Linked DNA regions of Anolis sagrei. The protein of the gene in region 4 interacts with the protein of the main gene of each other region in a biochemical or structural test. Links are inferred from orthologs where the notes say so. Each region holds a gene or a part of one and is shown on either strand. Other genes may lie near its edges. The genes, in order: RXRA, RARA, HNF4A and NCOA6.

Region 1 (7,930 bases), on a different chromosome or scaffold from region 4:
GAATCTATACATTTTCCACACTCCAAACTCCAGCATTTCTATGTTCTTCAATACCAGCTGTTAGGAATTATGGGAGTTGAAGTCCAATATGCCCGGAGGGCCGAAGTTTGCCCAGGCCTGCACTACAGCATAGATCCACTAAATCTGGTTGCTGCAGAATTCTGGGGCTTGTAGTTTAGAGGAGGAGCCTTTCATATGCTCAGCCAGATAGGTCCTGAGCTTCACTAAACTACAAACCCAAGAGTTCGGCAGGGGGTCGGGACACCTGGGGGGGGGGGGGGTTGTGAGGGGGTTTCATAGGGGTCGCCAAAGACCATCAGAAAACACATTTCTGATGGTCTTGGGAATCCCTTTGGCATTGTCATTTGGATTTACAGTGCTCTTTGGATGTAGGTGAACTACATCTCCCCTAAATCACTGTCAATCAATCCCAAATCACTCCAGAATTTTCTGTTGGTCATGGGGGTCTCATGTGTGGGAAGTTTGGCCCAATTCTATCATTGGTGGGGTTCAGAATACTCTTTGATTATAAGTGAATGGCAAATCCCAACTACAACTCCCAAATGTCAAGGTCTATTTTGCCCAAGCTCCACCAGTGTTCACATTTGGGCATATTGAGTATCCATGCCAAGTTTGGTCCGGATCTATCATTGTTTTGAGTCCACAGTGCTCTCTGGATGTAGGTGAGCTACAACTCCAAAACTCAAGGTCAATGCCCATCAAACCCATCCAGTAGGTGAACGATAAATCCCAATAACTACAACTCCCAAATGTCAAGGTCTATTTTTCCCAAGCTCCACCAGTGTTCACATTTGGGCATATTGAGTATTTGTGCCAAGTTTCGTCTGGATCCATCATTGTTTGAGTGCACAGCGCTCTCTGAATGTAGGTGAGCTACAACTCCAAAACTCAAGGTCAATGCCCATCAAACCCATCCAGTAGGTGAACGATAAATCCCAATAACTACAACTCCCAAATGACAAGGTCTATTTTCTCCAAACTCTACCAGTGTTCACATTTGGGCATATTGAGTATTTGTGCCAAGTTTCGTCTGGATCCATCATTGTTTGAGTGCACAGCGCTCTCTGAATGTAGGTGAGCTACAACTCCAAAACTCAAGGTCAATGCCCATCAAACCCATCCAGTAGGTGAACGATAAATCCCAATAACTACAACTCCCAAATGACAAGGTCTATTTTCTCCAAACTCTACCAGTGTTCACATTTGGGCATATTGAGTATTTGTGCCAAGTTTCGTCTGGATCCATCATTGTTTGAGTGCACAGCGCTCTCTGGATGTAGGTGAGCTACAACTCCAAAACTCAAGGTCAATGCCCACCAAACCCATCCAGTAGATGAACGATAAATCCCAACAACTACAACTCCCAAATGTCAAGGTCTATTTCCCCCCCAAATTCCACCAATGTTCACATCTGGGCATATTGAGTATTTGTGACAAGTTTTGTCTGGATCCATCATTGTTTGAGTCCACAGTGCTCTCTGGATGTAGGTGAACTACAACTCCCAAACTCAAGGTCAATGTCCACCAAACCATTCCAGTATTTTCTGTTGTTCATGGGAGTTCTGTGTGCCAATTCCATCGCTAGTAGAGTTCAGAATGGTCTTTGATTATAGGTGAATTATAAATCCCAGCAACTACAACTCCCAAATGTCAAGGTCTATTTTCCCCAAACTCCAAGGTGTGAATGTGTGGGCAAGGGAGAGTGTGTGAGGATGGAGGGAGGCTCATGCCAGTGAGTCCCTTCAAGATATGGGGATTCTGTGTGGGAAGTTTGGGTTCTATCCCAATTCCATCGTTGGTGGGGTTCAGAATGCTCTTTGATTGTAGGTGAACTATAAATCCCAGCAACTTCAACTCCTAAATGTCAAGGTCTATTTTCCCAAAACTCCACCAGTGTTCACATTTGGACATATTGAGTATCCATGCCAAGTTTGGTCCGGATCTATCATTGTTTTGAGTCCACAGTGCTCTCTGGATGTAGGTGAACTACAACTCCAAAACTCAAGGTCAATGTCCACCAAACCCTTCCAGTATTTTCTGTTGGTCATGGGAGTTCTGTGTGTCAAGTTTGGTTGAATTCCATCATTGGTGGAGTTCAGAATGCTCTTTGATTGTAGGTGAACTATAAATCCCAGCAACTACAACTCCCAAATGACAAAATCATTATCACCCCTCGCCGAACCCCATCAGTATTCAAATTTGGGCATATCAGGTATTTCTGTCAAAATTGGTCCAATGAATGAAAATACATTCTGCATATCAGATATTTACATGGTTGGGGGTCACCACAACATGAGGAACTGTATTAAGGGGTCACGGCATTAGGAAGGTTGAGAACCACTGCCCTATGAGGAGCGGCTTAAAGAGGAAGCAGCCAAGCCTTGAAACTGCAGGTCCATTCAAAATCTGGCTACCAGTATTAATTAAAACACTCTAAAATCAGGACAGCAAGTAAAGAACAACACTCAAAAAGCAGGGGAACAATCAGGCTCAACTCCCAACAAAGGATTCCTGCAGGCAGCAACCAGCCAAGCCTTGAAGCTGCGAGTCCATTCAAAATCTGGCTACCAGTATTAATTAAAACACTCTAAAATCAGGACAGTAAGTAAAGAACAACACTAAAAAGCAGGGGAATTGCAGACAAGAAAATATCTGGTACATCTAATACCTCCCAACAAAGGATTCCCCCAGGCAGGAAGCAGCCAAGCCTTGAAACTGCAAGTCCATTCAAAATCCGGCTACCAGTATTAATTAAAACACTCTAAAATCAGGACAGTAAGTAAAGACACTCAAAAAGCAGGGGAATTCCAGAAAAGAAACAATCAGAATCACCTCCCAACAAAGGATTCCCGCAGGCAGCAACCAGCCAAGCCTTGAAGCTGCAAGTCCATTCAAAATCTGGCTACCAGTATTAAAACACTCTAAAATCAGGACAGTAAGTAAAGAACAACACTCAAAACATGGGAATTCCAGACAGGAATCAATCAGGGCCATATAATGCCTCCCAACAAAGGATTCCCCCAGGCTGGGAGCGGCCAAGCCTTGAAACTGCAAGTCCATTCAAAATCTGGCTACCAGTATTAAAACACTCTAAAGTCAGGACAGTAAGTAAAGAACAACACTCAAAAATCAGGTGAATTCCAGACAAAAAACAATCAGGCTCAACTCCCAACAAAGGATTCCCCCAGGCAGGAAGTGGTCAAGCCTTGAAGCTGCTAAGCTTTTCAATGCAAATCAAGGTGGTCAATTGCAGCATTTCCACTTGCTTCCAAGAGACAGAGTGGACATCATTCCCCAGATATAGAAACCCAATTTCCCTAGTTTCCAACAGACTTCACAACCTCTGAGGGTGCCTGCCATAGATGTGGGCGAAACGTCAGGAGAGAGTGCTTCTGGAATATTTCCAGACATTGTATTGCCGAAGGCTTTCATGGCCGGAATCACTGGGTTGTTGTAGGTTTTTTCCGGGCTATATGGCCATGTTCTAGAGCAGTGTTTCTCAACCTTCCTAATGCCGCGACCCCTTAATACAGTTCCTCATGCTGTGGTGACCCCCAACCCTAAAATTATTTTCGTTGCTACTTCATAACTGGCATTTTGCTACTGTTATGAATCGTCATGTAAATATCTGATAAGCAGGATGTATTTTCAATCTCTGGACATTGGGAGTTATAGTTGCTGGGATTTATAGTTCACCTACAATCAAAGAGCATTCTGATCTCCACCAGAGATAGAATTGACCTAAACTTGGCACACAGAACGCCCATGACTAGCACAAAATAATGAAAGGGTTAGATGAGCATTGGCCTTGAGTTTGGGAGTTGTAGTTCATCTATCTCCAGCAAGCACTGTGGACTCAAACAATGATAGATCTGGACTGAACTTGGCGCAAATACTCAATATGCCCAAATGTGGACACTGGTGGAGTTTGGAGATAATAGACCTTGACATTTGGGAGTTGTAGTTGCTGGGATTTATAGTTCACCTACAATCAGAGAGCATTCTGAACCTTACCAATGATAGAATTGGGCCAAACTTCCCACACAGAACTCCCATGACCAGCAGAAAATACTGTGTATCCTGATGGAGTTTGGCGACCCCTCTGACACCCCGTCGCGACTCCCCCAGGGGTCCCGACCCCCAGGTTGAGAACCACTGTTCTAGAGGCATTTTCTCCTGACGTTTCGCCTGCATCTATGGCAAGCATCCTTAGAGGTAGTGAGTTTTTTCAGACAGCCTGGAAAACTCACAGCAACCCAATGATTCCAGCCTTCGACAAGAGTTGGCAAAGGCTGGCGAGAGAGGCGACAGTTCCCAGCATTCCTCTTTTTTTTGGTGTGGGGGAGTTTTGGGATTGATAGTCCTGGCCACGACTTAGAGGGATGCCCAAGGTCTAACTTGGGTTTTGTTTGGTGTCCTTCCCTTTTGGCGAGGTTCTTTAAGTCCCCCCCAAAGCGCCTCAATGGCGTCGTCCCTCGCGTTTCCCCCTTCGTGAGTCGGGTCCCCCTTGGAGTTTCTTTTCTTTGGAGACACGCAAGCCACGCGAGCGCGCGCGCGCAGGCGCTCGTGCCCGCGCCCACCCACGAGAGCGCGAGCCCAAGTACTTTTTTCCCTGGGTATTTTTTTCCTTCTTCTTCTTCTTTCTCCCTCTTTTGAGTTCCCTTCTTCTCTGGACGAGTTTTTGGAGAGGCGCAAAAGGGGAGAAAAACAAGGAAAGTCGGCCTTCTTTTCCTTCTTTTCCTTGGACTTTTGTATTATTCCGGATTTTTGTCTTGTTATATTTTAGAGAGAGGGGGAGGGCTTGCTCTGCTCCTAAAAGGCGGACCGAGAGGAGAACCAGAGACCCTCCCCCTTTCCCAAAAAGAACACAACAACAAAACAAGAAACCTCTCCAAAATCCATCTGGCAATGAGTTAAAAAAAAAGCGGCGCAAAGAAGGAGATGGACACCAAACATTTCCTCCCTTTGGGTGAGTTTTTGGGGGGCTCTTCCTCCCCCGATTTTTCCTATATCCTTTAGGGGAAAAAGTGGGGAATCAAGGGGGGAAAAAGAGAGAGAAAAAGGGGGAGGATTGGAGGAGGAAGAGGAGCACCCCAAACAACAACAACGTCAAGGCGAGATGCGTAAAAAGCCGTGCGTAAAAGCGCACGCGTTTGGGGGGCTTGCAAAAAAGCCCCTTTTCCAAGTAAAGCTTTTGGGGAACCCTCCCCCAAAGGGTCCAGTTAGACAAAAGAGGGTCTCAGGATGGTCCCCATATAGGTTATATGCGTCTATGTCTTTCTATAATGGGGGAGTGTCCCTTCTTTCTCGCCATGCCCAATGCAGAGAGAGCAGTTGCTTTCTCCACTCTGGCTCGGCTTGTGGCAATGGAGCCAGGCAGGCCTTGGAAAGGAAGGGGAAAGGGAGCCTTTGGGGGTGTGTGGTTGCGGCTGTCGTTGTGTTCTCGGCCCTCGGTGGTTGCCTCTTGGGTTGACACGGCTTTGGGGGAGTCCCAACTGGCTGCCTCGGCTCAAAGAGTGTTTTGGGGGAGCTCGAAGTTCAGTCGGACGGGAAGCGAGGAAAAGGGTTTGCGCTTTGGAGAGAAGTGGCCCAGAGAGAGAAAGAGAGAGAGAGTGTGTGTGTGTGGACTGGGTAAACTGCACTAGGATCTGGGCCCTTCCTTCCTTCTTTCCTCCTTTCCTTCCTTCTTTCCTTCCTTCCTTCTTTTCTTCCTCCTTCCCTCTCTCCCTGCCTTCTTTCGTCCCTCCCTTTCACTTTATTTCTTTTTCTTTCTTCCCTTCTCTCACTCTCCTTCCTTCCTTCTTTCCTTCTTTTCTTACTCCCCTCCCTCCCTGCCTTCTTTCCTTCCTTCCTTCTTTCGTCCCTCCCTTTCACTTTATTTCTTTTTCTTTCTTCCCTTCTCTCACTCTCCTTCCTGCCTTCCTTCCTTCCTTTTTTCCTTCCATCTTTCTTCCTGCCTTCTTTCCTCCCTCCCTTCTTGCCTTCCTTTCTTCTTTCTTTCCTTACTTCTTTCCTTCCTTCCTTCTTTCCTTCCTTTCTTCTATCATCCCTCCCTTCTTTCTTTCCTTCCTTCTTGCCTTCATTTGTTCCTTGTTTCCTTCCTCCCTTTCACTTTATTTCTTTTTCTTTCTTCCATTCTCTCTCCTTCCTTCCTTCTTTCCTTCCTTTTTCCTTCCATCTTCCTTCCTTCCTTCCTTCTTTTCTCCCTTCCTTCTTTCTTTCTTTCCTTCCTTCCTCCTTGCCTTCATTTCTTCCTTGTTTCCTCCCTCCATTTCACTTTAATTCTTTTTCATTCTTCCCTTCTCCTTCCTTCCTTCCTTCCTTCCTTCCTTCCTTCCTTCCTTCTTTCTTTCTCCCTCCCTTATTTCATTCCTCCATTCCTTTCACTTTATTATTTTTCTTTTTTTCCTTCTCTCACCTTCCTTCTTTCCTTCCTTCCTTTCTCTCTTCTTTCCCCTTCCTCCCTTATCTCTCTTCTTCCACCCTCCTTTCACTCTTCCATTCTATTCCTCTTTCTTCTATTTCTTTCTCTCTCTCCTTCCACCACTCCTTTAACTTGTATTTTTCTATTTATTTATTTTCTTCCTTCTTCACTTCCTTCTTTCTCTCCTTCCCCTTCCTCTCTCCCCCTCCCTTTTCTATTTCTTTCTTCCCTTTTCTCTCACTGTCCTCCCTCCTTTCCTCTCTTTTTCCTCCCCTTTTCTTTCATTCTTTCATTCTTTCTTTCTCTCTCCCCTTCTCCTTCCTTCATTCCCCTCCCTTTCGGTCCCCCTTCCCCTCTCTTTTCTATTTCTTTCTTCCCTTCTCTCTCTTTCCTCTTTCTTTCTTTCTTTCTTTCTTTCTTTCTTTCTGTCTTCCCTTCTCCTTCCTTCCTTCCTTCCTTCCTTCCTTCCTCTCTCTCTTTCTCTCTCTCTCTCTCTCTCACCTTCCTTCCTCTCTTCCCCATCCCCTATTTTTTCTATTTCTTTCTTCCTCTCTCTCTTTCCTTCCTTCCATCCCCTCACTTTTTTCTATTTCTTTCTTTTCTGCTTCCTCTTTCCTCCCCTCTTTGGACCCTTCCACACCACCTTATAACCCAGAATATCAAGGCCGATGATAATCCACAATATCTGCTTTGAACTGGATTATCTGAGTCCACACTGCCATATCATCCAGCTCAATGTGGATCTTATACAGCTGTGTGAAAGGGGTCTCACGTTCTTCCTTTCTTCCCTACCCCTTCCTTCCTTCCTTCCTTCCTTCCTTCCTTCCTTCCTTCCTGGGTTTTATTTTAAGATTTACTTTTGTATGCTTTGAATTGTATAGTTTCCAAAGGTTGTGAGCTGATTTGGGTGTTGTGCCTTGAGTTAAAAGCAAGGTAATAATAGTAATAATAATAATAATAATAATAATAATAATAATAGTAATAGCAATAATATAATAATAGTAATAATATAATAATAATATAGTAATATAATAATAATAATATAGTAATATAATAATAATAATAATGGTAATAATAGCAGCAACAACAATTCCTCCCTCCTTCTACTTTCTTTTTCCCTCCTACTTTCTTCTTCTCTTCTCGTCTTCCCTCCCTCTTTCTTTCTTTCTTTCCTTCTCTCTCTCTTTCTCTTTCCCTCTCTTTCTGACTTCCTTTCCTCCAGTTTTTGGAAGTTGGCATTGGGCGGAGAGTCTCCGAAGGAGGGGAGGAGGAGACTTTTGGAAGCTCTCTGCAGGAAATCCAAAGAAAGAAGGGAACGAAGGAAAGGAGGAGTGCGAGCAGGCCTGGGAGTGTTGCGAAAGGCCACCACCGCTCCTTCTCCCTCTTTGGGTGTCCCACTAAATAAAAAAGCCTTGTTTTTAAATGTCCGAAACATGCCATTCCATGTAGGTACTTTCCCAAGTTTTGGGCCATTATAGGAATCCA
Region 2 (7,736 bases), on a different chromosome or scaffold from region 4:
TTCCTGGAGATTTGAGCTTCTAAACATCTCAAAGGTCAAAGGTTTTATGTCCCTGCCATAATTTCTGCTCTTATTCAGGACTGGAAGACAATACATAACAATGGGAAGGAATTGATTTCTGGAGCAGAATGGCTGAAATTGAGGAGTTGAATGTGAAAGTATTGTCCAGAGCACATGGCTTTGCATAAATCATCTGCATCTATGTTGCATTTGATGTTGCACTTGACTATCCTTGATTCTTATTAGTCCCACTTTGTGTGGTCTGAATTATGTAGCTGAAATGGGAAAGGCATCGCAACCTTGTGTATAGTGAGGGAAGGAAGCATGTATTTTGTGACATTTGGGGTATTTTCAAATAGGCGAATAAGCCCATAGAAGCCCAAGAGTAAAGTAAAGAGAAGAATGAAATGGCATGCAGAGTAAAGGCATTTAATTCATTTATAATTCCATAAGCCCTTCCCCTTCTGTCCAAACATCTCTTGTTTCTAGGGTTCAGTCATGATCCTGGAATGCAAAGCTAACATGCTTTCTTTTGCTGTTGTTGTAAGAATTATCTGTGAAGACTATATCACTGACGTGTTCTGTTTGCAGAACGTTCCTGCAGAATCTGTGCCAATTGTTACACAGCGGTGGGGCACTCTCCACCATGAATTCAAAAGCGGCCCTATTTATAAAGGGTTTAAATAAAACACATGATTTTAATTTCTTACTTTGTCTAATTTCTTTTGGTTTGGCTAGTCATGAGAGAGGAGCAAAAGGATGCATGAAACACATCTCCTGTCTCTTCGTGTTTCACACAGGCCCCGTTCTGCCTTTACCAACCATTCCACGTACTTTCACAATTTGTTTTACCAAGTTTGTGGAGTAAATATAATTGTTTTCTTTCATTTATGCTTCTAAAAATGGGACGGGTGTGACATCAGAGAACCTTGGGATACTGACTACAGTATTAAATTCGATCCTTGTACAAAATAGTTTTTTTTAATCGTGTCAGAAGCAACTTGAGAATATACTGCAAGTCACTTCTGGTGTGAGAGAATTGGCCTTCTGCAAGGATGTTGCCCAAGGGACACCTAGATGTGTTACCATCCTGTGGGAGGCTTCTCTCATGTCCAAGCGTGGGAAGCTGGGGCTGACAGACAGGAGCTCACCCCGTCTCGTGGATTCAAACTGCCAACCTTAGCAAAATAGACATAGTTCAGTTCTCACTCATTGTTGTCACACAATATTTTTGGTCCATGTTCCTGATAGAAGAGGCCTATAGCTTTCAGGATCCATTCTGTGCCTGCAGAAGAGCCAGTGTTCAGTCCTTGGCATCTCCAGATAGGACTTCATGTGACCCTTTCTGTAACCCTGAAATGCCATTGTCTATTAAGGAAAGCATGAGTGATCTAGATAGACAAATGGACCAACCTGCTACAGTCAGCTGTCCACATTCACTGGCAGTAAGGGCACAGGATCCCATGAAAAAAACCCGTGAATAAAAAAATACTATTTTTAAAACTGAGAGAACACCTCTCTAGGAATTTCAAGGTTCTCCAGCATAACTCTGTGGTCAATTTCTGTTGGAAGCTGACCATAGAATCATTCCCTGGAGGATCTCGGGATTCCTAGAGAGAACATTTGAATCATATCTACAAAAGTCAAACTCGCAAATGTGGAGTCTAGATTAACTGAAAAGGCATTGAGTCAGTTGCTTCTGCATTTCTTCTTTTGCTTGATGGCGTACCTATGCTTTGATCCAGTTTTGATGTTGAGAAGATTTCATGGATCAAAAAACGTGTGTTTCCTGTCTAATTTCTCCAGCCCTTAGTGCAGGGCTTTCCAAACTGAGTCACGATATGTAGGTGTGTCTTTATCATATTGGGATATAATCCATTTATATCAATAAAAAAATAAAGATTTTTCCTTCATATTAAGTCTAGTTGTGTCCAACTCTGCGGGGGGTGGTGGTGGTGGTGGGGTGCTCATCTCAATTTCTAAGCTGAAGAGCTTAGAAATGTCTGTAGATGCCTCCAAGGCTATGTGGCTGGCATAACTGCATGGAGCGCCATTACCTTCCCACTGAAGCGCTACCTATTGATCTACTCACATTTGCATGCTTCTAAACTGGTAGGTTGGCAGAAACTGGGGCTAACAGCGAGTGCTCATCCTGCTCTCCAGATTTGAGCCGCCGACCTTTCAGTCAGCAAGTTCAGCAGCTTAGAGTTTTAACCCACTATGCCACCGGATGCATCCTGTATTGAGCCCCTACGTCCCATCCTGTAACCTAAGATCATCCGGGGAGGCCCTGCTCTCGCTTCCGTCTACTTCGCAAATGCATTTGGCAGGAATGAGAGACAGGGCCTTCTCGGCGGTGGCTCCCCGCCTATGGAACGTATTCCCAAAACGATAGAAGATCGACTCCATCCCTCCTGGCTTTCAGGAAAAAATTAAAATCATGGTTTTGTGGACAGGTTTTTGGGCAGCAGACATAATGAGCACTTTAGTTGGACATTGACTGGAATTGATACTATCATATTGCTCTACTGTTTTAATTAATGTTGTATGTACTGGTTTTAATGATTGCGTATGTATTTAATTTTGGTTATATTATTGTAATTGTTATATAGCGACATTGTATCATTACTAAATGTAAGCCGTCCTGAGTCCTCCTTCGGGATTAGAGAAGAGACGGGGTAGAAATACCAGAAATAACTAAATAAATAATCTTTATTTATACCCCACAGTCTCTCCCCGGAGGGACTTGGTGTGGCTTACTCGGCGTTAGTGAGCTTGTAGATACATTGACTCATCTTGTATCCAAATCCCCATCCTTAGACAGAGGTGTGTGTCTTACTAAATGTAAGCCGTCCTGAGTCCCCCCTTTGGGGTTGGAGAAGAGACGGGGTAGAAATACCAGAAATAAATAAATTTATACCCCACCGTCTCTCCCCGGAGGGACTCGGTGCGGCTTACTCGGCCTTAGTAAAACCTCGACCTTAGTGATCTTGTAGGTACATTGACTCATCTTGGATCCAAATCCCCATCCTTAGACAGAGGTGTGTGTCTTACTAAATGTAAGCCGTCCTGAGTCCTCCCTTTGGGGTTAGAGAAGAGACGGGGAAGAAATACCAGAAATAAATAAATTTATTTATACCTCACCGTCTCTCCCCAGAGGGACTCGGTGCGGCTTACTTGGCCTTAGTAAAACCTCAGCCATAGTGAGTTTGTAGATACATTGACTCATCTTGGATCCAAATCCCCATCCTTAGACAGAGATGTGTGTCTTACTAAATGTAAGCCGTCCTGAGTCCCCCCTTCGGGGTTAGAGAAGAGATGGGGTAGAAATACCATAAATAAATAAATTTGTTGTTCATTCGTTCAGTCGTCTCCGACTCTTCGTGACCTCATGGACCAGTCCATGCCAGAGCTCCCTGTCGGCCGTCACCACCCCCAGCTCCTTCAAGGTCAGTCCAGTCACTTCAAGGATGCCATCCATCCATCTTGCCCTTGGTCGGCCCCTCTTCCATTTGCGTTCCACTTTCCCCAGCATACTTGGATCCAAATCCCCATTCTTAGACAGAGGTGTGTGTCTTACTAAATGTAAACCGTCCTGAGTCCCCCCCTTCGGGGTTAGAGAAGAGACTGGGTAGAAATACCAGAAATAAATAAATTTATTTATACCCCACCGTCTCTCCCCGGAGGGACGCGGTGCGGCTTACTCGGCCTTAGTAAAACCTCGGCCTTAGTGAGCTTGTAGGTACATCGACTCATCTTGGATCCAAATCCCCATCCTTAGACGGAGGTGTATGTCTTACTAAATGTAAGCCATCCTGAGTCCCCCCTTCGGGGTTAGAGAAGAGACGGGGTAGAAATACCAGAAATAAATAAATTTATTTATACCCCACCGTCTCTCCCCAGAGGGTCTCGGTGCGGCTTACTCGGCCTTAGTAAAACCTCGGCCTTAGTGAGCTTGTAGGTACATTGACTCATCTTGGATCAAAATCCTCATCCTTAGACAGAGGTATGTGTCTTACTAAATGTATACCGTCCTGAGTCCTCCCTTCGTGGTTAGAGAAGAGACGAGGGTAGAAATACCAGAAATAAATAATCTTTATAACCCACCGTCTCTCCCCGGAGGGACTCGGTGCGGCTTACTCGGCCTTAGTGAGTTTGTAGGTACATTGACTCATCTTGGATCCAAATCCCCATCCTTAGACAGAGGTGTGTGTCTACGTGTGTACAGATGTCAGTTGCCCGGCTACATCCCACTTTTTTTTGTTATAAACATATCTAAGCAGGTTTTGTCTCCCTCTTTCCTTACTGGCCTCTGCACCATGGTCCCTATAACCAGGTATCTCCCTTGGCTGGTGGGTCTGGATTCGACCGTGTGGTGATGTTTGGCCGAAGCAGCAGCAGCGGCATGCCGGTGGCAGCCCTTGGCAGGCAAAGAGGAGGAGGAGGAGGGCGCCCCTGTGATGTCACAGGGAAGGAGAAGGCCTGTGAGTGGGTCATTTGGAGGTGAAGCTTTTTTGCAAGGAGAGTTCAGGCGGAGTTCAGCTGCATAACATTACGCAAATGAGGGGCGGCTAGAGGAGCAGCAGAGACCTCCCTTTCTGAGAGGGGTGATGCAGGCGAAGAAAGGGGCCGCCCGGGCCGGTTCCTTGCCATACAAAAAAGAGGGGGCCCTCCTGCTTGTCCTCCTCGCCGAGGAAGCCGCCACTGCTGCTCCGCTCCAGCGATGGGGAAAGCACCCGAGGAAGATGCAGGCGCTGCAGCTTTGTAGCTGGAGACAGCTGTTGGAGAGGCATTTTTTTCCATGGCTGTCATTTTTCCCCCCCTTCCTCCGTCCCTCCTCCCCTTTTCTTTCTTTCATTCATTCATTCCTCTCTCTTTCTCTCCTCCTCCTCTTCCTCCTCCCCCATCCTGTGCTTCCCTGCAGTTGGTTGGGGCTGCGCAAGACACAGCACGTGGCAGGTAAGGAAAGAGTTAAGCCAGTCCAGAGCCGACTTTTCGTGTCAGGAAAGATTTTGTGCTGCCTTTAATCTATCAGTCCTGTACATCACACACACACACAGAGGCGTGCACGCACCCACACATTCTCTCTTTCCCTCTCTTTCCCAGGGAGAGAAGGAAGGAAGGACCAAAAGAAATCTGCAACCAAGGAGATTCAGGGGGGGTTCCAGGCCTTGGCATCTTCTCAAGCATTCAAAACCTGACAACACATTTGTACCATTCATCTCTTCTCTTTCTCTCCTCCCCTCCCCTCCGCCTTTCCCTCCCTCTCTTTCTCTGGCAGGGGACAGAGATGCAATTTTAAGATATGTGTGTACATAACCCATGAGCACAGTTTTCGGTGCATTACATTCAGTCATCTGCTGGACAGGAAAAAGCTCTTTTATTTCTACCAGGAAGCCTTACTTCTTCTTTTTTTTTTGTATGAGTGTGTGTGAAACTTTTTCTCCCCCCTTTTTTTAAAACTGAAGCGAAAGGATATTCCTTCCCCTCCCTTTCCTTTCTTTCCTCTTGTTAGTTTGGGAGAAGGAGAGAGAACCATGGGACTGAACAGGAGGCGGAAATGTGACCAAAATGCTATCTAACACCAGTGAGTCTCCTTCTGGTTTTTGGGAAGGCGGAGTGGATTTTGTTATTATTATTTTTTTCTCAAAGTAAAACATTCCTCTTCTTTTTCTTTTCTTTTCTTTTTTTGGGATTTATAAATACATTTTGTCTCGAAACGGGAAACAGCATCTCAGCTTGGATTGGCCGGCCTATTTCCCAAGGGACGCGTCTGGAATAGAAGATTGAAGACTTGAATATTATCTTTTGGGTTTTGTTTTTGTTTTGTTTTTTTGTGTGTTTTAACTCGAAGCAAAGACACTGGTGGCCAACCCGGCCTGTTTGGCGGATTCCCCAGCCGCGTTTGGATTCCCTAAATACTTCCCCGCTAGGGATCAAGAGGCGGCGGAGAGGGGGAGAAGGATCAGGAAACAGAAAACAACCGACAAAAAGCCTCCCCCTTGTCTCTTTGGGATTCGTCGTCGTCGCCAGTATAGGATTCTGCTCTCCGATCCTTCAGAAACCAAACTTTTGCTTTGATTCCCTCCTTCCCATCCCCCTCCACCCTCCACAAGCCCCCAACCTTCTTATCCTCTTGTTCTGCCTGGAGAAGATGTACGAAAGTGTGGATGTAGCTGGTTTAAGCAACAGTCCTAACCCCTTCTTCATGATGGATTTTTACAACCAGAACCGTGCCTGCTTGATCCAGGACAAAGGACCCGGAAACCCTAACCCTTACAGCACCCCTGTCCGTAACCAGCATTGGAACAGTTCCAATCACTGTACGTATAATGCGATCCCCCTCCTGGGCCCGGCCCAGCTGGGGTGACACCCTCGTTGCCCTCTCTCCCCTCTTGCCAGCTTTTGAGGTGACCTTATTAAGAAAGATTAGGAGCTGCCCTGTAATTGAGTGGGGTGGAGGTTGGCAGGATGGGATCTGTCATCTTTGGTTTAGGGAGACCCAAAGCCTACCCTGTTGTGATTTGCATTGGAGGGTTGGGATCGAGAGCTGGGGCTATAAAATGGTGCTTTTGTATTGTGGTTGTATGCGTATTGGGGTGCGCGCTGCATGTTGGGTCCTTTTCTTATTTTTGCTTTGGAGAGAACCATGCCCTGTTGAGACACATGGCTTTCCTTTCCCCTTCCTCCCAAATGCTTTCAGATTCTCTATGAGAATTTTTACCTTTGGATTCCCTTTTAATCTGTTAGTATTAAGGAATATTTCCAATTCTGTTGGTTGTGTTTCGAGTGGTCGGTGAAGGGAATGGTGCCAAATAGCAAAATCCACAAACAAGAGTGACTTATATTTTTATATGTAGGTGAAAGGACTTTTTCCACAATGCTTTGGTGTCCAGCTCAAGTTTATGTGGGTGGATACTCCCTCCTTATTTATCAGCAATTCTCCCTTGCCATTGGCCCATATTGAAAATACTCTCAGCTGGGTCTGTAACAGTGCAAACTTCTAATATTGTCTCTGCTCAGTGCAAGTATGCCATTGCTTTCTCTTATATGTTGTCCCTTCCCCCAACTCCCCAGTGGTGGACAAACAGTCCCACGGTCTGTTTAGTTTGATCTAGGTAACAATTAGAGGACTTGCATTGGAGGGAGGAGTTGTTTATGTTTCCATAGATTGATTTTTGTATGAATTTGATCCAAATCTGGGGAAGGAAACACAGAGGAGAGGAGTTGCACCAAGTAAACTCCCCTCCTTTCCAGCTGGGTGTTCAGTTCCCAGCCTCTGATAAGATCTCCGGCAAAATCCAATTAACTAAATAGTACACCAAGCCTTTAATCTTTCTATATATACATATGCGAACAGCCTCTCTGTGGGTGAGTGGGTGGGTGGGTGAGCTAGCAGAGAATGGGATGGTAGTGGTGGGGAAACAGGCCATATTTGGGGTGAGGGTCCTTTCTGAACTTTGTGTGCGTAACATGCTGTAATGTACAACATGGATCATTTAAAAAAGAAAATGTTTCAGTTTCCCATACCTATGTAGGTCATTAAACCAACCCTTCTCTCTATGCAAAATTTTGCAATTCCCTCTGCCCCCCCCCCCCCAAATATCTCTTTCTTGTCCAACTAAACCTTATTGTTCTTCCTAAAGCCCTCCCTAATTGCTATCCCAGGCCCTTCCTGGAGCGTGTGGGTTGTTAATCAGCCTGTGATTTGGATTTGAGTTATATGTGTTCCCTTC
Region 3 (7,983 bases), about 7.5 Mb from region 4:
CAGGGTTTTAATTGTGCTTCTTTTTTGACCTGGGTGATAGTTGTATTTAGGGTGACTTGTTTTGGAAAGACGAGGTTAGACCCACTAGCAAAGCACAGCTCGGTTCCATGAGAGTTCAATCCTATGGAGCTCATGGTTGTGCTGCAAAATTTCGTTTTTTGCTGGTCTGCTTTCTGTGTTTCATCTAAAAGATAGAACACCACTGTAGCCCAGGGTGCATCTACACTGTAGAATTAATGCAGTTTGACACCACTTTAACCACCATGGGTCAATGCTATGGAATCCTGGTATTTATAGTTTGTTGAGACAGAGAAGGCTGAAGACCTTGTAAACTACAGCAGGTGGCCCCATTACTGAAGTTACTGCTTCCTTCACATGCTACTTTTGCTTCTGTGTGGCATTTGGAAGTTAGGGGAAACAATGTGTACCTCTTGGGAGGCTGGACTTGGAAGTTTAATTCTGTGGCTGATATATAGTGAAACATTTCATACAAACTAGAGCAAAGGCTAGAATTCATCATCTACAGACTTAGATCATAAAGGCTGTAAACCATGAAATAGTCATGTTTTCTTTATAAAAGTAACAGGTCATAATAATTAATTATTACTGGTTTCTCAGCAGCAGTCCACCTGACACTCCTAAATAATAAATTGATATATGGTTAATAAATTGATAATTGATATATTAATCTTTATTTTTTTACACAACAGCATTTACAGGGGGTCATAAAACCTCACTTTAGCCCAAATCACTGTGTCTATATTGCATTACAGAACTAGAAATGAAAGGAGACTCTGAGAAATAGCATTACAGGACTTGTGTGTAGTTACATTTCGGGGATTTATACCAAATATCAATCAGCTCCTGTTTTCCAGCTAACCTCAGTGGGATTTGAAAAAGTTCTGTAAACTAAATCAGTTTGAGAAGTACAGCATAGCAGAAATCATATACAAAATGATACCTACCAACATGTAATGGAATGGAAGCTGGTTCTGTTTTATGTTAAATGCAATAATAACAATGGTGATGGACCCTGGAGGCACAGCAGGTTAAACCTCTGAGCTGCTGAACTTGCTGACTGAAAGTTCTGTGGTTCAAATCCAGAGAACGGGGTGAGCTCCTGCTGTTGGCCCAGCTTCTGCCAACCTAGCAATTTGAAAACATGCAAATGTGAGTAGATCAATAGGTACCGCTTCTGCAGGAAGATAATGGTGCAGCATGCAGTCATGCGGCCACATGACATTGGAGGTGTCTACGGACAATACCAGCTCTCTGGCTTTGAAATGGAGATGAGCACCACCACCCAGAGTTGAATACTAGACTTAATGTTAGGGGAATCCTTTACCTTTACTTAATGATGGTGATGATGATACACTTTATTTATATTTCGCCTTTCTCTCCTAGTGGACTCAAAGCAGATTACAGCATTTATATACATAGGCAAACATTCAATGCATTTACAGTCATATACAGTGAAGACACACAAACACAAACGCAAAGGCTTCTCCTTTCATTTCCGGCTTCCAGAGGCGGTGCTCATCTATGGCTCTAGGGAGGTGTTTTTCTCCATTTTCAAGCCGACCTTGTCACACAACCTCCTGGTTGCGTGGCCAGCAAGATTGCTTGAAACGTCTCTTTGCCTTTTCCCGCCAAAGCCGTACCTATTTATCTACTCACATTTGCATATTTTTGAACTGGTAGGCTGGCAGGAGCTGGAGCTGACAGACAGGAGCTCACCCCATCGCATGGATCTGAACTGCCAACATTTAGGTCAGCAGTTCAGCAACACAAGGGTTTAACCCATTGTGCCACCACGGCCCCATTAGGGGTTCATGGTATAATAGTAGTCAAGTCAAAGACCAAAGATATTCCATCTTTATCACATTTGAAGCATGGTCTTTCTTTGGAAATTGATTTTATATAGTAAGCTTATACCACAGTAGTTAATAGTATTAAATTCATGTTACCTGAAATTTATCACTTAATAGTATCAGCTGAAAAGCCAGTAATAAGAAACAGCCGTTAATGTGCCACAAAGTAATAAAATAGACATTGCAGCTATAAAGTGTGTATTGCTTTGTGGCATGAGATACAAGTGCCATATAGCCCCAAGGATTAGGTGGGGAAACTAAAATTATTGCAACAATCTAAAAGCAAAGATTTTTGGAGTAAACAAATCTTGTGAAGGCAATCAGAACTTAGAAGGCCACTCAATAAGGTCAGATAAAAGTACAGTTAATGTGAATAGATTTGGTTCTGTAGGCAAAGATCATTTAGGCTTGATTAGGGCTAAATCTACACTGGCATATAATCCAATTTCAGAATGCAGCTTAATTTCATTGAGCTAGATTATATGTCTGTGGAGACTCTCATAATCCAGTTCAATTCAGTTCAACTGTATTCTTAAACTGGATTATATGGCAGTGTAGATCCAGCCTTGGGGAAAGTGAGGCAATCAAGATAGAGCAGAAATCAGCCCCCAGCTGGAATGGCCAAAGAAGCTGAAGGTACAGAACATGTATGTATGTATGTTTGTTTGTTTGTTTGTTTTGACAATCAACACACTGAACTATAGGACAATGAAAGGCACTTCCAATAATACAAACAACATTGGACTAGGGAAAATTTGCTATCTCGGTGAATAATGCAATATGGCTCCCTTAAATATTTCTCATGTATGGTGTCAGCACATGCATCAAAGTTGAAAATGATTTTTCACACACAAAACTGATGAATACTGCAGAATGCAAAGTGGACATACATGGAAAGGCTTATTTGTACATGTACAATATTTTAGTACATCCATGTGTGAGCGTTGAGGTTTGTTGCGCCAGCTCCACTGGCTGCCAGTTTGCTTCTGGGCACAATTCAAAATGCTGGCTTTAGCCTATAAAGCCCTAAACGGTTTCGGTCCAAGTTACCTATCCGAACGTATCTCTCCTTATGAACCATCTAGGATGTTAAGATTTTCTGGGGAGGCCCTGTTCTCGGTCCCGCCTTTCTCGCAGATGCGTTTGGTGGGGACGAGAGACAGGGCCTTCTCAGCGGTGGCCCCTCAACTGTGGAATGCCCTACTTAGAGATATAAGATCGGCCCTCTCCCTCCTGACTTTTTGAAGAAAGGTGAAAACCTGGCTTTTTGAGCAGGCCTTCCCAAAATATGGCATAGTTATACGAAAGCATGGAATTACTGGATGACACAATCGAATAATGACTTGACATGGAGACGCTCATGGTAATGTTTTAAGGCTTTGTACGGTTTTTATATTTTTATATTGTATGCTAATGTTTTTAACAGTATTTTATGATTGTTTTATTTGTTATGATTGTTGAGACATCAAATTGTTGCCAATTGTGAACCGCTCCGAGTCGCCTCTGGGCTGAGAGGGGCGGTATATAACTATGGTAAATAAATAAATAATAAATAAATTCTACCATGTCATTTTCTTTAGATGCCTGAACTGTATTTTTGAATTCTCAACTGAAGACAGTAGTGCAATGCTAGAAATTTGGGGAGTGAAAAGATGTTTCAGGTGGAGAGAAACAGTCCCTTGGTACATCGCAAATAGTGTTTTAACCCTTTCTCTTACACCATTTCCGAGGTCCAGCGTGTGTCTTGAGGAATCTGTAATGCTGACACTATGGACATGAGACAAAATATGATGGCATGGAAGAACAAAAATACCAAGGCTTTTTGCATTTAAGCAGAGATCATTTCAATTGGGAAAGTGGTTTATAGAGCAGGCTAGTGACCTTCAGCAGTGGAGCTGTTCAGCAGTGGAATTCTCTGCCTCGGAGTGTGGTGGAAGCTTCTTCCTTGGAAGCTTTTAAACAGAGGCTGGATGGGCATCTGTTGGGGGTGCTTTCATTGTACTTTTACTGCATGGCAAGGGGTTGGACTAGATGGCCCATGTGGTCTCTTCCAACTCTATGATTCTAATTCTATGGTTCTTCTCAAGCACTACTGTCCTGAGCCACTTTGGGTCTCTCACTCTTACAAGCTTAAAAAAAGATAGAGTAACTTGGGTTTAAATATCTTGCCTCATGTATTATTTGGCCCATATCCCCACAGCAGAGTAGAATAACATGGAAGAGGATGTGTGGCCCACGCAAGGTGTAAGTACAGCAAGGTATCCACCAAATGTACAATTAACCTGTTTTGCATTTGCGTGCCTCACCCTCAAAGATCTGTTTTAGGTAAATGCTGCAGAGTGAGTTGTTTATAGTGAAGTCAGTGCCTGTAAAATCATGGGTTTATGGGGAAGTAAAATGAAAGTCTCACATTGTTCCCATGTATGACAGTGTGTAAATTACAATGCTACTGACCTTCACTAAACAGAGAGACAACAGGGTGTGGGAGAAGAAAGAGAGTGAAAAAGAAATAGATGGAGTAAGAGCAGTGAAATGGCAACAAGGGTAGAAATGTGGTGTTGGGTTTTTCTATATTGCAGATCAATTTGTCTGAGTCGCTCCAGCTTTACCTAGAAATAGTTCTGTCCCAACAACTGTGCATTAGGTACAGCATGTCCTGGGAAGGTTTTGTCCAGATTGTTTGCCCCATTGCACACTTTTTGCACCTGTCCCAGAGCTGAAATCGGCAATGCGCTGCTGACTAGCCCAAAAATAAACAGTCAACAACATGGAAGTGAAGGGGGAGAAAGACAGGAAGAGGGAAAGAAGGACGCAGCAAAGCAGTATGCACTAGTGGGTGAGACGATTAAAGATTAACCCCCCTTGCCTCCTGCCTCCACCCCTCTGGGTAGAATAGGCCTTGAAGCTCAGCGGATCCTTGCAGAGAATTATTTGAAATAAAGGCCAACAGATAGGGAACGCCGGCAAAATCAGTTGGGAGAAGTGGAGGGGCCAATAACCTCTGGCCGCAGATTCACTGCAATCTCGGCAGTGTTTGCTGATGATAATGCGCCTCTCCAAAGCCCTGATAGACATGGAGATGGCAGATTATAGCGCAGCTTTAGACCCAGCATACACAACTCTAGAGTTTGAGAACATGCAAGTCCTGGCCATCGGCAATGGTAAGTCAACTCAGGGCTTTGCCCATCTCTATGAAAATTTGGGTTTTGATGTGGTGAGGTAGTCAGAATTTAGAGAGCCATCAACATACAAGGAGCAATGGCAGCAACTGAATGGGTGGGGAGACTTGTCTTGATTTGTTTCCTTCATTCCTTGACCCAAAGACACTTTTTCCTAGTGGTGGATGTTCTTCTTGACTACTCTAGAGTCTATTGCCTCTTTATATGGCAAGTTTTTGTTTGACCAGCGTTTCACTATGCAGTGACTGGATGACCGTCAAGGGATGGGTGCGGTATAGAAAGCTCAAGGATATTACAGTTTTTTCTTCCATGCTACATACTTGGCTGAGGAAGGCAGAGAAGGTAGCATGAATGGTGAGCTTATGTGGGAAATGAATGCTGTTTAGAAATGGGTGATTGTATCCATTGAGAGGGTTTGGGAAGAAGATGGTGACTATAGTGATTGTGAGGATAGATTATCGTATTTATATCCTGTCTTTGAGCCAGCGTGGTTTAGTGACTTGAGCACTAGACTGTGGAAAACAAAATGCAAGTCTCCACTTGAAAACTCACTGGGTGATTTGGGGCAAGCCACACACTCTTAGCTTCAAAAACCCCATTATAGATTTGCTTTAGGGTCACCAAAAGTCAGAAATGACTTGAACGCACACAACAACAACAAATTTGTTCCCAAGACTGCCATTCAGGTGGGTTGAGAAATATTCCACTGTAGCTTTCTCATTGTACAGGAGCTAACTATGTACTTCCTCTGTATCTATAATTATGTATTTCCCCTGTATCAAAGACATGTTTTTGCTACATTGCCTCCTGGAAGGCTGCAGTGAGAGTAGCGGTTGCTTCAGGATCAAAGAAGGGAAAGACGTGTGATTACAATCTTATGCCTGTTGTCCTGGGAATAAGATCCCCTGAGTACAGTGGGACTTAATTCCAAGTTAAACATCTATAAGATTAGGCTGTGTATTACAAGATGTGCCACTGTATAGTGATTTCACACAATGCCATCTTATGTTTATACGTCTGTCACATTTGGAGAGTGCTGAGAGCATTGTATGTGTCATGTCTGTAAAAGTTACCAAACTTTGTATTTTTGCTCCTCTATACTAGTAATGCCATAAAAGAAAAAACTATTTTGAGAATTTGTATACAGTTAGCCCTCTAGATCCACAGATTCTTCATCTGTGGATTAAACTATCCACAGCCTGAAAATACATATTTCTTTAATCCAACAGCAAACTTTGATTTTGCTGTTTTATATAATCGACAGCATTTTACTGTGCCATTGTGGAGCCCTCAGTGGTGCAATGGGTTAAACCCTTGTGCCGGCAGGACTGAAGACCAACAGGTCGGAGGTTTGAATCCAGGGAGAGCGCAGATGAGCTCCCTCTGTCAGCTCCAGATCCCCATGCGGGGACATGAGAGAAGCCTCCCACAAGGATGGTAAAACATCAAAACATCCGGGCATCCTCTGGACAACATCCTTGCAGACAGCCAATTCTCTCACACCAGAAGTGATGTGCAGTTTCTCAAGTCACTCCTGTCACGGAAAAAAAAACCTATGCCATTGTACAGAATGTGACTTGAACATGCACAGATTTTGTTATCCATAGGGAAAGGTGGTGGTAGTCCTGGAGTCAAACCCCAGCAGATGCCAACAGGCACCTGTATACTGTACCAGTTATTATTTGCACCTATATTATTTTTAATTATTAATTCTAAATAGTGATAAGTGCATATTTGTGTTAGTGTGCTACTTGGTTTCTTATGGTGGTAAGGCTGAGGAATCACACAGGAAACATTGTTCAATCATGCTTTTAACAGCCCTATACTGTAGATCCAGATTATTATTCTTGTGTTATGGAGTTGATAGGGTAGATAGCTGGCTGTGGAGCTAAAAATATTGCCCTCTGAACTCCTGGTAACCATTTTGAGACTGTTTGCAGACTTTTCATGTTTACAGAATAAACCTTTAGATACACCCCATATAGTTTTCAATATCCTTTGCCTGTTTTGTGGATTGGCTGATGCAGTATTTTGAAGTGATCAGATTTTCAGTTGAATATTCTATCTTGCCTTGGGCTAACATGGTTCAAAATATATACGTGGAAAATTTTATGTAAAGAAAAATTTCCTAGTGATGCTTTTAGTACCAGCTTAGTAGATGTCCACAAACTTTAGATATGTCTAAAACTCACCATTGTCCCTAGCCAATTTTGGGGGGAAACTGTTTTGTAGAAGGGAGATATGGGCTAATACAATCGGGCAACTGTTTTGCCTCCCTAGATTTCTTTTGCCCTCAAGTGTTGTTGCTCTTTTCCATTGCTGAAACATTTTGAGAAATGTTTGAATTAATATGACTGAAGAATGTTTATTTAACTTCCGGTCACAAATGAGCCAGCAAATGGCTATGTGTAATTCAGAAGCATATGGTACACTGCTTAGCTCAACTTAACTCAAAAATGTATATCCCATAATCCAGATGTACACAATGTAACATCTTCCAATTGTTTCAAACATCAGTTTCATTGATTCTTAGCCAATATGGCCAAAAACAGCAATTCTAAGAATTGTCTTCCAAAATATTTGATTGGGAAAGGACGGCTACTTCACTAAATTTCTGGAAACCTTTTAGTTTTAATATTTAGGCAAACAGTAAATGTGTAATTTTAGTACTTTTTTCTTGTATCTCTTTAATAAGCACACTACCTTTTTCCTTTTGAATAATAAATGCTATTGCATAGTTTGTTTATTGAATATTACCTGATTATTGTGCTTTGCTTTATTTTGGATGATCTAAGATCACGTTTCTTGCTTTGGAATTGAATCTAGCACTTTTGCTAGAGCATCAATGTCTTTCAAAAGATCTTAGAATAGAACATAATAGAATATCTTTATTGTCACTGTACACTGTACAATGAAATTAAATGTTTTCCCCA
Region 4 (8,057 bases):
GATATTGTGAGACCACGAAGAAACCTCACAGAGCCATCCAAAAAAAATGTTGTGGGATTCTGATGGCGGGAATATGTCTCTTTCATGACAATGCATGTCCACACACCGCTTATGCAACACAAGAGTTGTTGACTTCATTTTGGTAGATGTTTTATGCCACCCCACCGGAGCAGTAGCTATTGATCTTCTCACATTTTTATGTTTTTTAACTGCTAGGTTGGCAGAAGCTGGGGCTGGCAGCAGAAGGTCACGCCGCTTCCCAGATTCAAACCTGCGACCTTTCGGTCAACAAGCTCAGCAGCTCAGCGTTTTAACCCACTGCACCACCAGGGGCTCGTATAATCCATGTAAGCTTCATTAAAATATATTCATTCTTTGTATATTTTTTTTCAAAAAATTGTAACCTTACTTTCCAGATATCCCTTGTATGTACATATAGAAACACACACATACATAGGCTTACACTTCCTTTAGGAAGTGTTGGGCAACTTTTTTTTTTTAAAAAAACTTTATTTATATCCACCACCATCTCCCAAAAGGGACTCAGGGCAGCTTACAAAAGCATGTATTAGGCCAGGTTTCATAAACACAGATGTGTAAACATAGATAGTGTCTGCGCTTTCTTTGGAAGGTGTTCAGTGGCTTTAGGCCAGAGACCATATATAAAATACATACATACATACATACAATATATACATACATATATGTACACATAGAAAAAACCCACACCCATACAGGCTTGTGTTTCTTTTGGGAAGTGTTAGGTGACTTTAGACAAGATTTCATATATATAAATACATACACATAGATATGTAAACATAGATAATGCCAGTGCTTATTTTGGAAGGTGTTCAGTGGCTTTAAGTGAGACACCATATTTAAAAATACATACATTCATATATATACACATAGAAACACACACACACTGAGGCTTGCACTTCCTTTGGGAAGTGTTTGGTGACTTTAGGCCAGATTTTATACACACACACACACACACACACACACACGTGTAAACTAAGACTCCTTCCACACAGCTGAATAAAATCCCACATAATCTGCTTTGAACTGGAATACATGGCAGTGTGGACTCAGATAACCCAGTTCAAAGCAGATATTGTTGGATTTTCTGCCTTGATATTCTGGATGATACGGCTGTGCAGAAGGGCCCATAGATCGTATCTGTGCTTCTTTTGGAAGGTGTTCAGTGGCTTTGGGCCAGACACCATATATAAAAATACACACATATATGTAAACATTGATACACAGATAAACACAAACACATCTATATGTCTGCCTTCCTTTGGAAAGTTTTGGGTTCCTTTAGGCCAGCTGCCATATAGACATACATACATACATACATACATACATATAAACACACACACATATATGTCTGTGCTTCCTTTGGAAAATGTTGGGTGTGTTTAAGCCACTTCTCTCTCTCACACACACACACACACATTTATATATGCTTCCCTATATATAAACACAAATATATATGTGCCTTGTGTTTCCTTTAGAAGGAGTTGGGTGTCTTTAGGCCAGACTTCACACATATACGTTCATATATCTACACGGCTTTAGGCCAGTCTCCCTATATATAAACACAAACATATATATGCCTTGTGTTTCCTTTGGAAGGTGTTGGGTGTTTTTAGACCAGACTTCACACATATACATTCACACATCTACACCTTCCTTTGGGTGGTTTTAGGCCAGTCTCCCTATACATAAACACAAACACATATATGTCTTGTGTTTCCTTTGGAAGGTGTTGGGTGTCTTTAGGTCTGACTTTAGACATATACATTCATATATCTACACCTTCCTTTGGGTGGCTTTAGGCCAGACTCCCTATACATAAACACAAACATATATGTGCCTTGTGTTTCCTTTGGAAGGAGTTGGGTGTCTTTAGGCCAGACTTCACACATATACATTCATATATCTACACGGCTTTAGGCCAGTCTCCCTATATATAAACACAAACATATATATGCCTTGTGTTTCCTTTGGAAGGTGTTGGGTGTTTTTAGACCAGACTTCACACATATACATTCATACATCTACACGGCTTTAGGCCAGTCTCCCTATATATAAACACAAACATATATATGCCTTGTGTTTCCTTTGGAAGGTGTTGGGTGTTTTTAGACCAGACTTCACACATATACATTCACACATCTACACCTTCCTTTGGGTGGTTTTAGGCCAGTCTCCCTATACATAAACACAAACACATATATGTCTTGTGTTTCCTTTGGAAGGTGTTGGGTGTCTTTAGGTCTGACTTTAGACATATACATTCATATATCTACACCTTCCTTTGGGTGGCTTTAGGCCAGACTCCCTATACATAAACACAAACATATATGTGCCTTGTATTTCCTTTGGAAGGTGTTGGGTGTTTTTAGGCCTGACTTCACACATATACATTCATATATCTACACCTTCCTTTGGATGGCTGTATGTCACTCTCCCTATATATACATAAATATATATGTGTTTCCTTTGGAAGGTGTTGGGTGTCTTTAGGCCTGACTTTAGACATATACATTCATGTGTCTACACCTTCCTTTGGGTGGCTTTAGGCCAGTCCCCCTATATATAAACATATATTGTGCTTCCTTTGGAAGGTGTTGTGTGTGGCTTTAGGTCAAAAACCTAACATACACGTAGGTTAACACAGATACACGTATGATCCATGTATGTCTGTGTTTCCTTTGGAGGGGGTGTTGCGTAGCTGTAGGCCAGGCTCCGTGTATTTAATACATACATCCACGTCCACACTGCATGCACACCGGTTCCCAAGAGTGGCAGCCCCACTCGCCTCTTGCCTCCCTCCCTGCCTCGCTGGAGCCAAACCCGCCTCCTTCCCCCGCCTCGGGGGTCTCTCCAGGGCTGGGGCTCGGCCTGGGCCTTCTTCCCGGCGACCCCGAGCAGGCCTCAGCGTCGGCCGCCGCCCGTCCTCCTCCTCCTCCTCCATGGCTGTCAGAGGAGAAGCAGCAGCAGCAGAGAGAGAGAGAGAGAGAGGGCCTTGCGTGGCCAGAGAGAGACCCCTTCCTCTCTCTATTACGCCTCACGACTGAGGGAACTCACCTCCCTACTAGGCCCCGCCTCATTTGCACAAATACATACAGAAAGAGAGAGAGAGAAGGGAGGGGGGGAGATACCCCACGCGAGGGACTCCCTCGCCTCACCTGAGGGCGCCGCCGCCGCCGCGCCTCACAGCGCCGGGTCCAAGGCCACTCCGCTTCCTCCGTTTTCTGCTGGGCGCCCGAGGCGAAAAAGGGGCAGGAGGAGCCGAGAGGCGGAACGGAGGGAGGAGGAGGAGGAGGTCAGCCCGAGTCCGAAACTCCGGGGCGCCACAGACCCCCTCCAACCCGGCCGCGGCTCCGCCTCCGGGAGGGAGGGGCGTGGCGGATCACGTGACCCCCCCGCTCGGATGCGCGCGCCTCGCTGGCTGCGCGCGCGCCTCCTCCTGCTTTCTTTTTCCTTTTCTCTTTTTTACTGACTGGGGAGAGAGGCGCGCGCGCCCGCTCGCAGGAGTTAGAGCGCGCGCGCGTGCGTGCGTGCTGCTACTGCTGCTGCTGCGCTCGCGCTCCCAGCCCTATTTTTTTTCCTCCTCTTCCTCCTCCAGAGCAAACCCCCTCCCGTCAACTTCTGCTTTTTTTCTCTTTCTCTCCAAAACACAGGGTGAGCAAACCCAGTCTAGGACTCCACCCCCCCCCCCCTTTCAGTTTGAATTAAAGGGCCAACGACCCCTTCCACACAGATGAATAAAAACTTCACGTTTTCCGCTTTGAACTGGAATATATAGCAACATGGATTTAGGACCCTTCCACACAGCCCTATAACCCAGTATATTAAGGCAGAAATCCCACAATATCCGCTTTGAACTGGGTTATCTGAGTCCACACTGTGATATATTCCAGTTCAAAGCAGATCATATAATCACAGAGTTGGAAGAGACCTCATGGGCCATCCAGTCCAACCCCCTGCCAAGAAGCAGGAATATTGCATTCAAATCACCCGACAGATGGCCATCCAGCCTCTGTTTAATGTGGGATTTTTTTTCAACTGTGTGAAAGGGGCCTCAGATAACCCAGGGCCCTTCCTCACAGCCCTATAATCCAGAATATCAAGGCAGTAAATCCCACAATATCTGTTTTGAACAGGGTTATCTGCTTTGAACTGGGTTATCTGAGTCCACACTGTGATATATTCCAGTTCAAAGCAGATCAAGCTACAAGGCGTAGAGCTTTTTCGATCTATGCTCCAATTCTGTGGAACTCATTGCCTCCATATATTAGAGCAATGTCGGAGTTGTGACCTTTTGCAAAGGCACTCAAGACTTGGCTGTTTGGTTGTGCATTTAAGTAATCGGATCAAATTTTGCCATAGTCACTGCTGAATGTTTTTATGTTGAATGTTTTATATTTAATGTTTTATATTGTGTATAAGCTATTTTAAATTGTAAGTCGCTCGGAGCACTTTGGTGGAGAGCGACTAATTAAGAAATAAAGTGATGATGATGATGATCATGATGATCATGTGGGATTTTGTTCAGTTGTGTGAAAGTAGCCTCAGATAACCCAGGGCCCTTCCTCATAGCCCTATAATCCAGAATATCAAGGCAGAAAATCCCACAATATCTGCTTTGAACTGGGTTATCTGGGTCCACACTGTGATATATTCCAGTTCAAAGCAGATCATGTGGGATTTTGTTCAGTTGTGTGAAAGGAACCTCAGATAACCCAGGGCCCTTCCTCACAGCCCTGTAATCCAGAATATCAAGGCAGAAAATACCACAATATCTGTTTTGAGCAGGGTTATCTGCTTTGAACTGGGTTATCTGAGTCCACACTGTGATATATTCCAGTTCTAAGCAGATAATGTGGGATTTTGTTCAGCTGTGTGAAAGGGGCCTCAGATAACCCAGTGACATACTCATGGGTTTAGTTGGTTAGTTTCAAGATAACATCCATAACAATATGAAAGCATAAAACTATTCAAGAGACATTTTGTGAATACGTACTATAAAAAGAAAACTGTTTTTATTTCAGCCTTTTTGTTATTGGTGTTATTGGGAAAATGCATGAATACATTACATTTATTTTCTGTACAATCAGACTCATGGATGTGATTACAATGCATTTAATGTTATTTATTTTAAATAAAGTGATGCTGTACTGTAAACATGACATACAGTAGCTACATTTGTATTTATGAATTGTCTGTTTTTCAATGTTTACAACATTTTTTAAAAAAAGAAAAAAAACTCCTCTTGCAATTTATCTTCTGATAGAAATAAACAATTGGTTTCCAGCCGCAAAATAAGTTTATGTGGTGGTCCATTCCAGATATTATAATAATTATCTAGATTAACTGAGATTTTGCTTTTTACAATCCAGACATTATTCAACCAAACACTTCATAAGACAATTTGCTGAAACAGTAGGAACACACAAACTGGAACAATCTGCATTTAAACTGTAGGCCTAAGAACTGGAGTAGCCTATTATTTGGTGTCCTGCCATAGCTGGTCAACTAAAGTTCCTATTTAATAGAGGGACTAAGGTGGAAACTTGAAGAGAAGTTCCTATGGGACTGACATTTTAAACTACAGATGAGATGCCCTATTGTTTAGCTAATTTCAGATTCATTATTATGTCTTGTAACTCCAACCATGGGCATGCATTTAATGGACGATGAAAAAAACCATCCTAACTGTCTTTCACCAGTCTAAATCTGAATGCATGTAGGCTTTCCAAACTCCTGATTTAGGCTGTATCACACTTGCTAGGGAGTTGTCCCATTAAATTCAGTGCCAAAAATTATACTTTTACCATATTTTCTGGTGTATAAGACGACTGGGCATGTAAGACAACCCCCAACTTTTACAGTTAAAATATAGAGTTTGGAATATACACGCTGTATAAGACTACCCCTCTTCCAACACACTGCATTTTTTAAAAAAAATATCAGATTTGATTGCAATATGGTAATTTTCCTATTACTGTACTGCCTTCTCTATCTCTCAGATCTCACACATGTGTGCCTGCGCCGCTTCCCTGCAGTCCTCAGGAGCGAGATCTGAGAGCCAGAGAAGGAGGTATGGTAATAGGATACAAGGGCGGGCCAGACGGGTAAAAAAAGGTGTGTTTTTCTGGGCACAGCACCACTCTATATCTTTTTTCCATACCCCGGATGTCCTGGATGTCTGCAGCTTGCTCCGCCCTTCACTTATACCTTCCTGGTGAGGCGCCCCCTCACCTTGTCATCAGAACCGCATTAAGTCACTTCTTTCCACAAATCCTGGTGAGTGGATTTTCTTCTACCTTACTTGCACAGCGCTGCCCTTGCTGCTTGCATATGGCGGGGATGCGGCCACGGCCATTTTTGAGCTTCCCTCACCATATGTGGCAACCACAGATTCTCCAGTCTGGCTCGGAAGTTCCAGCACCCACCCTATAAGAAGACACCTGGCATATAAGATGACACCTGACTTTTGAGAAGATTTTCCTGGTTTAAAAAGTAGTCTTACACATCAGAAAATACAGTAATTAGTGCTATGTTGTATAACCAAAATCATATAGACTATGTTTTTGGTTTTGAAGGGAAAATACAATTGCATCCGAATTTGTTAAATACATTAAATAACTTCTTTCTCCAAGAATTGGTGCATCAACTTTTTAGTATACTTTCAGCTCCATCTTGTCTTGTCCTTTCTTTTCTTTTTCCTTCCTTCCTTCCTTCCTTCCTTCCTTCCTTCCTTCCTTCCTTCCTTCCTTCCTTCCTCACTCCTTCCCTACCTCCCTTCCTCCGTTTTTTAAGAAGCCATATATTTAGCTGTTAAAATATAACACAGAATGAAATAAACTTAAAGACATGAAGTTGAAACATAGCTATTTGGGACAAAAGGGACACACTCCAGTTTACAGCACAATGGAGAACTAAATGTTAAACTTCATGCTATAAAGGTACAACACGCAACCAAATTTACTTCCCCTCCCCCCGCCCCCAAAACCTAAAGTAAGCATACTAGGATGTCTGTATGCAAGCAGCTTTCCCTCCCACACTTTTTTTTTTTGCTAAATTAACACTACCCACACGCATGAGGGCTAAAAATGAGGAAAGGACTTCCTCAGACTCCAATGGAGTAGTTGTTAAAACCGCCAAATAATGACGTGAGTTAGTGGGAGAGAGGATCCAGTAGGATAGTGAAGGGACCTCACCGTGCACAGGTAAAGCACGCCTTATGCTTGCTTCAGAATAAAAAGAAATTAATGTTTAGCTGGTGCCCTTAAAATAGATGTGCAGCCTGACCCTTCCTTTACTACTTCATCTAAAAAGCGCCATTCCATCTTTCATGATTATGCTGTGTTGAGTGTGATGGAAGGAACTGACTCTGGGAATTAGATTTTCTATATACATACAGTCAGCACATGCCTAACATGTAGTTTGTTTGATGTTAGTGGTGCTGTACAAACATTCAAAATCTTGTGTAGGCCATTAGCTATTTACAATATAACAAGTGAATGAGCCCTTAAACAATGAATGATTGTAAACTACATTGAGGTCATTGACTGACTTAAAATTTGGATGTAAAACAAGATCAATGATGGCATCTGCAATACATTAATACACTGACACCTCTTGTTCTATAAGACAACACTTTAGACACATTTGACCTTCTGAGGTTCTGACTTCAACTCACAGAAGAGCCAACCAGTTCTGGACAGAGATATGGGAGTTGCAATCCAAAGAGCCATGGTACTGGAACTGAAGGTAATGGAACTGAAGACAGGTATTTCTAATTCTTTGATTTAGATAGTGTAGAATTAATTGCCTTTTTGTCTTTGGAATACAAGGAGGGAGACCTTGCACTTGCATAAGCTATGCATGTTCAACTAAAGATATATATAGAGCTGTAGTTTCTATGGCTTTGTCAGCACAGTCATGGCTCCAGCAAATAGCAACATCTCCAATCACATAGATGGAAAATTCATTCATACAAGGTATAAAGAAGTGGTTTGTCACTCTACTCCTTGGAGCCA

Evidence for each region.
Region 1: the proteins of NCOA6 (region 4) and RXRA form a complex in vitro, tested with the Homo sapiens proteins (5 studies listed by BioGRID). The link is inferred for Anolis sagrei from reciprocal best matches to the Homo sapiens genes NCOA6 and RXRA.
Region 2: the proteins of NCOA6 (region 4) and RARA form a complex in vitro, tested with the Homo sapiens proteins (3 studies listed by BioGRID). The link is inferred for Anolis sagrei from reciprocal best matches to the Homo sapiens genes NCOA6 and RARA.
Region 3: the proteins of NCOA6 (region 4) and HNF4A form a complex in vitro, tested with the Homo sapiens proteins (2 studies listed by BioGRID). The link is inferred for Anolis sagrei from reciprocal best matches to the Homo sapiens genes NCOA6 and HNF4A.

The regions. Positions count from the first base shown.
Region 1 is NC_090031.1:5,342,996-5,350,925, reverse strand, and holds the start of RXRA (retinoic acid receptor RXR-alpha), read left to right. Parts: upstream 1-4,562; 5' UTR 4,563-4,962; coding exon 4,963-4,990; intron 4,991-7,930. UniProt on the Homo sapiens protein: Receptor for retinoic acid that acts as a transcription factor.
Region 2 is NC_090026.1:39,867,613-39,875,348, reverse strand, and holds the start of RARA (retinoic acid receptor alpha), read left to right. Parts: upstream 1-4,470; 5' UTR 4,471-4,610; coding exon 4,611-4,959; intron 4,960-4,965; exon of another isoform or gene 4,966-6,154; coding exon of another isoform or gene 6,155-6,323; intron 6,324-7,736. UniProt on the Homo sapiens protein: Receptor for retinoic acid. Retinoic acid receptors bind as heterodimers to their target response elements in response to their ligands, all-trans or 9-cis retinoic acid, and regulate gene expression in various biological processes.
Region 3 is NC_090024.1:218,454,464-218,462,446, reverse strand, and holds the start of HNF4A (hepatocyte nuclear factor 4-alpha), read left to right. Parts: upstream 1-4,745; 5' UTR 4,746-4,911; coding exon 4,912-5,032; intron 5,033-7,983. UniProt on the Homo sapiens protein: Transcriptional regulator which controls the expression of hepatic genes during the transition of endodermal cells to hepatic progenitor cells, facilitating the recruitment of RNA pol II to the promoters of target genes. Activates the transcription of CYP2C38.
Region 4 is NC_090024.1:210,932,182-210,940,238, forward strand, and holds the start of NCOA6 (nuclear receptor coactivator 6), read right to left. Parts: upstream 3,420-8,057; 5' UTR 3,198-3,419; intron 1-3,197. UniProt on the Homo sapiens protein: Nuclear receptor coactivator that directly binds nuclear receptors and stimulates the transcriptional activities in a hormone-dependent fashion. Coactivates expression in an agonist- and AF2-dependent manner.